3 linked regions of the Macaca mulatta genome follow. The protein of the gene in region 2 purifies or fractionates together with the protein of the main gene of each other region. This does not show direct contact. Links are inferred from orthologs where the notes say so. Each region holds a gene or a part of one and is shown on either strand. Other genes may lie near its edges.

What was found.
Region 1: the proteins of ING4 (region 2) and MEAF6 purify together in Homo sapiens (affinity purification with mass spectrometry; 5 studies listed by BioGRID and IntAct, counting the BioPlex papers as one, with this or other methods). This does not show direct contact. The link is inferred for Macaca mulatta from reciprocal best matches to the Homo sapiens genes ING4 and MEAF6.
Region 3: the proteins of ING4 (region 2) and BRD1 purify together in Homo sapiens (affinity purification with mass spectrometry; 5 studies listed by BioGRID and IntAct, with this or other methods). This does not show direct contact. The link is inferred for Macaca mulatta from reciprocal best matches to the Homo sapiens genes ING4 and BRD1.

What each region holds. Positions count from the first base shown.
Region 1 is NC_133406.1:203,295,478-203,299,123, reverse strand, and holds part of MEAF6 (chromatin modification-related protein MEAF6), read right to left. Parts: intron 553-3,646; coding exon 360-552; intron 1-359.
Region 2 is NC_133416.1:7,617,110-7,621,198, forward strand, and holds the start of ING4 (inhibitor of growth protein 4), read right to left. Parts: upstream 2,835-4,089; 5' UTR 2,817-2,834; coding exon 2,780-2,816; exon of another isoform or gene 2,763-2,779; intron 1-2,762.
Region 3 is NC_133415.1:1,669,065-1,672,710, reverse strand, and holds part of BRD1 (bromodomain-containing protein 1), read right to left. Parts: intron 3,388-3,646; coding exon 3,260-3,387; intron 2,388-3,259; coding exon 2,278-2,387; intron 2,053-2,277; coding exon 1,898-2,052; intron 714-1,897; coding exon 530-713; 3' UTR 1-529. UniProt on the Homo sapiens protein: Scaffold subunit of various histone acetyltransferase (HAT) complexes, such as the MOZ/MORF and HBO1 complexes, that acts as a regulator of hematopoiesis.

The sequences.
Region 1 (3,646 bases), on a different chromosome or scaffold from region 2:
CAGCTTCCCAAAAAGTACTAGTGGCATTTTTCAAATACTATTACACAGATTCCATTTTTATTTCTTTTTCTCTTCTAAAATTATTCCATATTCACCATATGAAACAAGGTTTTTATGGAATAAAACTATTCTACACTAGAAACAGTGAGAAGGATGCCCGGGAGTCTTCCTTGAACGTTACTCTAATGCCCACCAATTCCTCCCTTTGAGCAAATTAGCCCATTCACTTGGACCTAAGCACTTTCTTGCCATCAGCAACAGAAAGGGTCTGCAACAATCCTAAAGAGTTTTTATTCTAGGCAATTCCCTTCACAGCAATGGTCATGGGAGCTGCAGGGGGTGGGATTCCTGCCACTGACCTGTGCCGGTTTTTATTCTTTCGCTTTTTATGGCTGCTGTGGTGACTCCCTGAGGAAGTAGAGGAAGCAGCCTTCTGAGGTTTCACTCCCTGCACAGATCCATCCAGATCCTCAGGGTCCTCCTGGCTGGGCTCGTTTTCCTGATTGTGGAAGTCTGGAGAAGTGTCACTTTCCGTCCCACTTCCTGGCTCCCCTGGAGGAAATAAAACACAAGTTTCCAAATGCATCATCAGTACTCCTCAGGCAATCCGTCCATCAACATGAACACTAATAGGAAAAAACCATTCCCCATCCTCTAATTGACAGAGAAGATACATGTTGACAGAGAAGAGACACACAAAGGATCAAAGTTACCACAGGTCCTGAAAAAGCATGTAATCTGAAACAATGTAACCAGAGACAACATCTCTAAGGGCAGTTGGGAGACAGGAACATACAGCCAGGATAACCTCACTGCATAAAGGTTATTTAACCACAGAATACACTAATGGGATTAATAATTATACATAAAGCATCAGATAGGACTCCAGGGAAGTGAGGGATGATCTTGGAAAAAGTGCCTATAGCTGGCCCTGGTTTCTTCCCCAAACCATACGGGGATCCTGTCTTTTTATTAAAAAAAAAAAAAAAAAAAAGGCCAAAGAGGCAGAAGACAGCCCATTCCTGAATTACTCTAAGTTTTCCATTTTGTTTTTTGTTTGTTTAACCTTTAAGATCTGTTGAACTTGAACCTGATAAGTCTTTTTTTTTTTTTTTTTTTTTTTTTTTGAGATAGGGTCTCACTCTGTCACCTAGGCTGGAGTGCAGTGGCGGAATTTCCGTTCACAGCAGCCTTTACTTCCTGGGCTCAGGTGATCTTTATACCTCAGCCTCCCACATAGCTGGGACTGCAGGTGCCCATATGCATAAGCCCAGCTAATTTTTCTATTTTTTGCAGAGATGGGGTTTCACCATGTTGCCCAGGCTGGTCTTGCACTCCTGGGCTCAAGAGATCTGCCTTCCAAAGTGCTGACATTACAGGCATGAGCCACTACACCCAGCCCTGCTAAGTTTTATTTTATTTTATTGTATTTTGAGACAAGGTCTCACTCTGTCACCTAGGCTAGAGTGCACTGGTATGAACTGGTGTGATCACAGCTCATGGCAGCCTCAAACTCCTGGGTTCAAATTATCCTCCCATCTCAGCCTCCCCAGTAGCTGGAACTACTGGCACATGCCACCACACTTGGATAATTTTATTTGTTTTAAGATGGAGTCTCACTATGTTGCCCAGGCTGGTCTCGAACTCCTGGGCTCAAGCAATCCTCCTGCTTCAACCTCCCAAACTGCTGAGATTACAGGCATGAGCCACATACTCTGCCAAGAATATTTTTAAAATGCAGTAATATTCAGCTGACACATGTCCTCAATTTTAAAACATCACTGTAGATTATATTAAATAAATAAAAGCAAGCTCAATAACAACTTGTATAAATATATATATATTTATAGATCAGGCACAGTATCTCATGCCTGTAATCCCAGTGCTCTGGGAGGCTGAAGCAGGCGGATGGCTTGAGGCCAAGTGTTCAAGACCAGTTTAGACAACACAGCCAGACTCTCATCTCTATAAAAACAAAAATTAAAAATTAGCCAGACATGGCAGCACATATCTGTAGTCTCAGCTATTCAGGAGGCTGAGGTGCCCGTGAGTTTGAGCCTGCAGTGAGCTACGATCTTACCACTGCAATGCACTCTAGCCTGGGCAACAGAGCAAGACTCTGTCTCTTAAAAAAAAATAAAAACAAAAATGCTGCATGCAGTGGCTCATGCCCGTAATCCCAGCACTTTGGGAGGCCGAGGTGGGTGGATCACCTGAGGTCAGGAGTTCAAGACCAGCCTGGTCAGCATAGCAAAACCCCATCTCTACTAACACAAAAATTAACCAGGTGTGGTGGCAGGCACCTGTCGTCCCAGCTATTCAGGAGGCTGAGGCAGAGAGAATTGCTTGAACCCGGGAAGCAGAGATTGCATGAGCCGAGATTGTGCCACTGCAATGTTGCTCTGGGTGACAGAGCAAGACTCCATCTCAAAAAATATATATATATATAGTTATCAGTATGGTTTGGCTCTGTGTCCCCACCTAAATCTCATCTCAAATTGTAATCCCCACATGTTGAGGGAGAGACTTGGTGGGAGGTGACTGGATCATGAGTTGGTTTTCCCCATGCTATTCCTGTGATAGTGAGGGAGTTCTCACAAGAACTGATGGTTTTAAAAATGTTTAGAGGCTCCTCCTTCATGCGCATTCTCTCTCCTACTGCCTTGTGAAGAAGGTGCTTGCTTCCCCTTCGCCTTCCACCATGATGGTAAGTTTCCTGAGGCCTCCCCAGCCATGTAGAACTGTGGGTCAATTAAACATCTTTCCTTTATAAATTACCCAGTCTCAGCTATTTCTTTAGAGCAGTGTGAAAACAGACTAATACAGTTATATTTGTATTTCATTTATATATATACTTGTTTTTCCTGAAAGGAATTTCTTTAAAATCTTAATAGGTGAGGATGAGTGAGGGAAGACTTTCACTTTACTCAACTGTTGAAGGATCCTAAATATATACATTACCTGGCCGAGCACGGTGGCTCATGTCTGTAATCCCAGCACTCTGGAAGACCGAGGCAGCTGGATCACCTGAGGTCAGGAGTTCAAGACCAGCCTGGCCAACATGGTGAAACCCCACCTCTACTAAAAATACAAAAAATTAGCCAGGCGTGGTGGTGGGCACCTATAATCTCAGCTACTCGGGAGGCTGAGACAGGAGAATCACTTGAACCCAGGAGGTGGAGGTTGCAGTGAGCCAAGATGGCGCCACTGCACTCCAGCATGGGCAGCAAAAGCAAGACTCCGTCTCAAAAAACAAAAAACAAAAAAAATGTATATATATATATACACACACATACACACACACACACATATATACACACACATTATCAATTTCTAAAACTTGCCAAAAAAGGTCATGTGGTAGCAGAACCAAGGGACCAGTTTTCTTTTTTTTGAGACACAGTCTCGCTGTGTTGCACCCAGGCTGGAGTGCAGTGGCGCGATCTCAGCTCACTGCCATCTCCACCTTCCCAGTTCAAATGGTTCCCCTGCCTCAGCCTTCTGAGTAGCTGGGATTATAGGAACCCACCACCATGCCCGGCTCACTTTTGTCTTTTTAGCAAAGACGGGGTTTTGAAATGTTGGCCAGGCTGGTCTCAAACTCCTGACTTCAAGTGATCCGCCAGCCTCAGGTTCCCAAAGTTCT
Region 2 (4,089 bases):
CACAATCTCGGGTTCAAAGGATTCTTGTGCCCCAGCCTCCCAAGTAGCTGGGATTACAGGCACCTGCCAACATGCCCAGCTAATTTTTGTATTTTTAGTAAAGACGGTTTCACCATGTTAGCCAGGCTGGTCTTGAACTCCTGACCTCAGGTGATCCACTCATCTCAGCCTCCCAATGTGCTAGGATTACAGGCGTGAGCCACCACTCCCAGCCTTTTTGTTTTTGTTTTGAGACGGAGTCTCACTCTGTTGCTCAGGCTGGAATGCAGTGGCTCACTGTAACCTCCGCCTCCCAGGTTCAAGCGATTCTCCTGCCTCAGCCTCCTGAGTAGCTGGGACTACAGGTGCCCGTCACCACGCCCAGCTAATTTTTTTGTATTTTTAGTAGAGACGGGTTTCACTGTGTTAGCCAGGCTGGTCTCGATCTCCTGACCTCGTGATCTGCCCGCCTCGGCCTCCCAAAGTGCTGGGATTACAGGCGTGAGCCACCTGGCCTGGCCACAAGTTTTTTTTTTTTTTTTTTTTTTTTTAAGAGGGACACAGAGTCTCTCTCTGTCGCCCAGGCTGGAGTGCAGTGGTATGATCTTGGCTCACTGCAATCTTCACCTCCTGGGTTCAAGTGATTCTCCTGACTCAGCCTCCCAAGTAGCTGGGATTAGAGTCACATGCTACCATGCCCAGATAAATTTTTTTTTTTTTTTAAATAGAGACTGGTTTCACCATGTTGGCCAGGCTGGTTTCAAACTCCTGACCTCAAGTGATCTGCCCACCTTGGCCTCCCAAAGTGCTGGGATTACAAGCATAAGATTCTGTGCCCAGCCTGTCTACCTCACTTTCTAAGCAGGAAGAAGCCACCTGAGATTCTTCCTTCTCTCTCAACCACCCAGTCAGTCAGTCCTTTCTTTTTTTTTTTTTTTTTTTTTTGAGACTGAGTCTCGCTCTGCCGCCCAGGCTGGAGTGCAGTGGCCGGATCTCAGCTCACTGCAAGCTCCGCCTCCCGGGTTTACGCCATTCTCCTGCCTCAGCCTCCGGAGTAGCTGGGACCACAGGCGCCCGCCACCTCGCCCGGCTAGTTTTTTGTATTTTTTAGTAGAGACGGGGTTTCACCGTGTTAGCCAGGATGGTCTCGATCTCCTGACCTTGTGATCCGCCCGTCTCAGCCTCCCAAAGTGCTGGGATTACAGGCTTGAGCCACCGCGCCCGGCAGTCCTTTCATATTTAACTCCTAAATACTTCCATAACTCCCTAAAATCAGGTTCTTATCTCTGTCCTGGAATGTTATCACTAATTGATCTCTGTTATCAGTGATAGCATGCTTCAATTTACCATATATTAGTCATTTTCGTTTATAAAAATCACATTGTACTTTAAAATGCAAACTTCTTAGTTTGGCTTAAAAGACTGTCCAATCTAGCCTCAGCTTCTTTCTCCAGTCTCGTTTCTCAATTTCTTACCTTAGAGTCATAAATATTAAATACGCTGACCTCTGAGTCATAAATATCAAACACCCTTGACTTTGCCACAAACCTATCACAGTACCTTTGCAGACACTTTCCCCAACCTAGAATTCCCTTTTTCTCTCCTCACTGGCAAACAACCTTCAAGACCCTATTCAAACGTCACCTCCTCTGTAAAGCTTTTCCTACATCGCCAGGTAATTACCCCCCTTTTCTGCAGTGTTGCCTACCAAATGTCCTTTTTAATGGATTTCCATTATTTCACTTGTCACAGTGTTTTACAATTACTTGCAGAATCTGTTTCCTTCTAGATCGAGAGTTTCTTGAGGGCAGGGGCCTTGTCTTACCCATTTTTCTATCCCTAGTGCCTGCCATTATGTCTGACCCATAGTAGGAACTCAATAAATATTTGTTGAATAAATGACTCCGGGCCCTAAAACAAATGTAAGCGCATAGGGCGACAGGCTTTGTGCAGGGGTGGTTTACATAAATGGCATAACACCAGATTTTCATTTGATGGGAATTAGATCTTTACTCCATGAAGAGAAGCGTTCCAGCTCATCATCTGACAGTGGTCACTCACCACCACCACTCTCACCACCACCACTCTCAACCCCACCACTCTCACCACCACCACTCTCACCACCACCACTCTCAATCCCACCACTCTCAACCCCACCACTCTCACCACCACCACTCTCACCACCACCACTCTCACCACCACCACTCTCAACCCCACCCTCACCACCACCACTCTCACCACCACCACTCTCACCACCACCACTCTCAACCCCACCACTCTCACCACCACCACTCTCAACCCCACCACTCTCAACCCCACCACTCTCACCACCACCACTCTCACCACCACCACTCTCACCACCACCACTCTCACCACCACCACTCTCAACCCCACGAGAAGCCACTTCTGAGGAAGAATGGGGTGGAGGAGGGGTCTTCACCGCTGCTCCAAATGACAGTGGGTGATAACGATTCTGAACGACTATAGGAAAAAAATCTACCCAGAGGCTGGAGACGCTGGAGAATGGGGGCAGCAATTATCTTCCCGGCCGTGCACACTAGCCCTTCAAGACACGTCCCTAACCCCCACACCGCAGCCCCTCCCTCCTCTACCCCCAACAGCGGGGCCTCGATCCTGCTGCCCCGCCCCCTCTTTCTCCGCACCCTCCAATATTTCCTGCCACAGAACCCCCTCACAATTGTAACCTTCTCGTCATTGAGACTTAAGGGCTACAGATCCTCTCATCCCTGATCCCCGCACCACTCTACAGCCCCGACCCCCACCTCCAGCCTGCTCTTACTGTCCAGATAATGTTCCAAATACATCCCCGCAGCCATCTCGAAGCAAAACAAAGCAACTTCCGATCCGCCCCGGAAGTGACTATAACGCGACAGGGTCCGAAGCCATTTTGGGGCTAAAGCCTTTCCGCCCTTAAAAGGAGAACTTCCGCCCTTACTATGTTACCGCCGGTACACATCCGCCCGACGCTCTAACTTTTCCTTTTGCATGGTAGCCACGACCGCCCATAGTGAGGCAGCTGTAGCCCGCTTCCGCCCTTACAGAGACCCCAGGACGCGACCGAGACAGGTATGACGTCACTGAAGATCGCCATTTTGCATTATCGGGCAAACTTTTTTCCCTCCAAAACGGGAATGTATAGCAATCGGTGCAGGGGTAACTGTTCACTTTAGGCTTATATTGCGTAAACATCCCTTCTCAGCGACTGGAAGATACAGCTTTTTTTCCCTCTTTGCAGAATATGACTTTTTTCAAGCCAGTTAGTTTCTTAAGGAAGTTGGGGAAGAGTATCAAGCCTTGAGAGATTTAAACCCTTTGCATTTCTTTTCACTCACACAAACACCATCTCCCCCAGCATTATTTTTTAAGCTTGAGAAGGATTATCAACTTTCTACTTATAAATACAAATAATGACAATAATGCTATAATTCTGCACATCTTTTGTCGACCTCCTGTACTTTATACTCGAATACTTTCACATATAAAATATTACTTCTTTTTTTTTTTTTTTTTTTTTTTGAGACGGAGTCTCGCTCTGTCGCCCAGGCTGGAGTGCAGTGGCCGGATCTCAGCTCACTGCAAGCTCCGCCTCCCGGGTTTACGCCATTCTCCTGCCTCAGCCTCCCGAGTAGCTGGGACTACAGGCGCCCGCCACCTCGCCCGGCTAGTTTTTTTGTATTTTTAGTAGAGACGGGGTTTCACCGTGTTAGCCAGGATGGTCTTGATCTCCTGACCTCGTGATCCGCCCATCTGGGCCTCCCAAAGTGCTGGGATTACAGGCTTGAGCCACCGCGCCCGGCCAAAATATTACTTCTGACGTTGCCCTCTTGCTACTTTTTTTTTTTGAGACAGAATTTTCACTCTTGTTGCCCAGGCTGGAGTGCAATAGCGTGATCATGGAGCCATCTCTCCACAACCTCCACCTCCCAGGTTCAAGTGATTCTCCTGCCTCAGCCTCCCGTGTAGCTGGGATTACAGGCATGCACCATCACGCCTGGCTAATTTTGTATTTTTAGTAGAGACGGGGTTTCTCCATGTTGGTCAGGCTGGTCTTGAAATCCCGACCTCAGGCGATCTGCCCTCCTCAGCCTC
Region 3 (3,646 bases), on a different chromosome or scaffold from region 2:
CCGCTGGGAGGCACACCTGCGGGGTGGAGGCGGGCGGGACGGCGGGCGCGGGCAGCGGGCGTTTTTGGTGATCTGCAAGTGATGTGCACAGCATAACTTTATTCTCCCCTTTCCACAAAGTACCATTCAAAATAATGTCCTTTTCTTTCTTAAAATACACATTTGTCATTGTAAATTTACATCCCGTCTTATTAAATAAGTGGTACTCTGTGTAAAGAGGATGATTTACAAAATTATTAAACATTCAAAAGTCTTTAAGAAAAAGCTACATGTCAAAGACAGTGACGCCAGCAGCACGGCCCGGGGTCGTGTGACAGACGCACTGCGCTGCCCAGACGCGCCCACCCCACTCACAGCGCCCAGACGGAGATGGGTTCCTAGAAAACGTGGAAATAAAACCTCCCCCTCCCTGGGGAAAAAGAATTAAAGAGCTACAACTAAAAACCAGAATAAGTTAAGTTTTGAACAATATACAAACATGTACAGCTTATCAACACTATGGACAAGACCCGCGCTGGCAGCCGGGCCATCAGTCAATGTCACTGAGGTCGCTGGTTGGCTCCCCGTGGACGCGGCTCAGGTGGTTCATAGCGCGGTCAAAAGCGATCCGCACGGCCTTCCGGATGCTGGAGTTCCTCCCTTCCATCATCTTTAACTTGTCTATAGTTTCGTCGATACCAAGGGGAACCATTTTGGACTTAGGAAGCCACTGCCTTTTTAAAAGGAAAAACATGGGGAAATCATTGCTTGCATGTGGTGCTTCAACGTGCTCCATGTAATCATCTAACACATCCACTGCCCTCTGATAGAAAGGGACCCTGCTCAGCACCACCAAGACAGCTGGGCCCTGTGTAGGGACAGGCCCGAGGCCAGGGGTGCACCCCTCCCTTCCCCTCCCTTCCCCTCCCTGGCTTGGGGATATGGGGAGCTAAGTAAGGCAGAAAAACCATCACCTCCCTCCTCCACCTCCAAAACGTTCCCAGTGCCTGCCGAGTGACAAGACATGCACACACGAAGCCCAGAGCCAGGGTGGGCCCCGGAGCAGGGGCCGGCGGTTGGGGAGACCCCATCAAAGGGGCCCTCGGATGGACAAGGTGTGGGCCTCGCTCAGGGCCTGACAAGGAGCAACGGCCGTGTGGCCAAAGAGGCAGAGGTCGGGGCAATGAAGAGAAAGACGGTAGGGATGCCTGTGTTGCCAGCCATGCTCCAGGCACACCATACGCAGGTGGCCCTGAGCCTCTGCGCCAGGTCCCCAGAGCAGCCAGCTCCACGGGGAACCAGGAAGCACCTGCCTGGGCCACGTGCGCAGGGCACAGCTGGGGCTACATCTCTTCCCAGAGGCATGTGCTGCCAGCGCGTCCCACACAGAGGCGCCTTGGGGTCTGAACCCTGGCACATCAGAGTCCCAGGCACTGTGCGAAAAAGCAGCCCAGGGCACAGGGGGAGCCTCCTGTGATGGGGTAGACGTCTGAGCAGAGCTGGGTGACGCCAGGACGGAAGGCTCTAAGCACAGGGCCAGAGGCCAGGCCCAGGCGGGGGCCGTGTCCTGCAGCACAGGGGTCCAGGAGCCCAGCAGTGGGACCCCCAACACTATAGCCGACACGGGTAAGGAACAGAGAAGAGATAGCCCGGGCCAATGGGCTCAGGTGAGAGGGAAACAAAGCCATCAGACAGAGACAGACCCTGTGCTCAGTGCCCATCCCACAGTCCCAGCAGGGGTGCTGGGCAGTGCCCTTCTCCACCAGGCAAACAGCAGAGCACCCACCTCCAACTTTAGCTCTGCCAGGGCCCAGCAGATAAAGAGGCTGCTCACCACAGGGACACTCGGGTCACCAAGCCCACGGCCCCCACACAACCACCCCAGCCGGTCCCCGGAGTCTAAGGCCTCTTGACTCACCAACTTCTCTTATTATCAAAAAAGAGAACGAGGAACAGCTTCTCGTCGGACTTGGTCTGCATGTGCTCCCCAATCTTCAGCACGTCTAGGGGTGGGGCCGGGATGGTGACACCATTGTGGTGGCCAGGCACGCGCGGCATCTTCGGGTCAATGATCTGCACGAGAAGGACCCACTGAGGTCACTGTGAGGCTCACACCCACAGACGACTGCACCTGTCACCGCACCACCCCCACCCCCCCCCAGCTGTGTGAGCCTCCTCGGACCATCCCCACCCCCCAGCTGTGTGAGCCTCCTCGGACCACCCCCACCCCCCAGCTGTGTGAGCCTCCTTGGGACCCACAGGTGCTGGGGCCCTGGGCACCACGAGAGCCATACTCACCAGTGCCGGGTAGGAGGGGTAGCCGCTGCACTTGGCCCACACCACCTTCAGGGGCTCCAGCACTGAGGCGGCAGCATCGGTGGAGATCCACATGCTGTTCTGGCCAACTTCTGCGGAGAGAGGCACGGCGTCAGCAGGACAGAAGGGGCGTGCCCCGCCCCCCAACAAAAGGTACACAGCAACAGGGTGGGGTCTCCGGAGCACAGCCCAGTTCCCAGGCCTTTCTCACCCACCCCCAGCAGCACCACTGCCTCTCTTGTGGAGTCCAGGCCCCTGCATCCCCCCCCGTCCCTGCAGCCCACCTGGGGACCCACCAGCCTCCCCCGGACCCAGAGAATTTTCTGCCCTCCGGGCTGGAAGGCTCTGACTCCAGGTGCCCAGCACAGTCCCTTCTGAGACCTCCTTGCCCCAAGGACGGGGCTCCCAGCGTGCTCCTGCCTCATTTATGCAGCTGACACCCCAAATCCGAAACCAAAGTCCTGGCTCCCCCTCCGCCAGACCAGCTCCCTGCTGTCCCTCCCACCGGGGGGGTCTCCGTCCTGATGCCCCCTCACAGCATGGCTGCCTTCCACAGTGAGGGCCGTGCCAACCCCAAACCCCAGGGCCTCCCCCTCTCCCAGGAGCCTGAAGCTGGGGGCACACCCTCTGCAGTCAGTCCCCTGTGCAGCCACAAATGACCACTGAACCTCAACAACCCCAGACAGCCTTGACAGTGCCCGGCAGCCAGGAGCCACACAGAGCTGGACGTTCCACAGGGAAACGAAGGCAGGATGGAGGAGGCGCCACCTCCACAGGCACCCCAGCAGGGCTGCAGCCCAGAGCCCCTCGGTGTATGATGAACCCCTCCCCAGGAGGTTGGCCAGGGTGGGGCTCCACACAGGGCACCGTGCTCCCTGAGCCAGAGTCCAGTCCCCAGCAGTCGAGCCCTAAGACGCTAACCGGGAGGTGTGGAGAGCCACGGACGCAGGTCCGGGCGACTCACCGGCTGCGATCCTGGCCGCCTTGGCGTAGTTCCCATTCTCGATGCAGGAGATCAGCTCACTGCGGTCCTCCAGCGTGTGCCTTCGCACAAGAGCCGGTTTGCCCCGCCCACATTTGGGCACACTAAAGCTTCGGGAGGAAGAGCAGAGGGAGTCAGGTGTCCCACCCCTGGCTTCAGCCTCACTCAGGTTTCGTCCCGTGGGCTGCCCGCCACCAAGCCGGCCACGCGTCCTGCCTGACACCCCTGCAGCCAGGCAGGCCTGTGGGTGCACAGGTCTGGAGGGAGTGAGCCTGTGGCAGGGGGTACTCAGGAGGCCAATGAGACAGGCAGGGCTGTGCTCACTGCCAGATTCTGGGAGGAAAAGATCAAGTATAAACTTAATTGCAG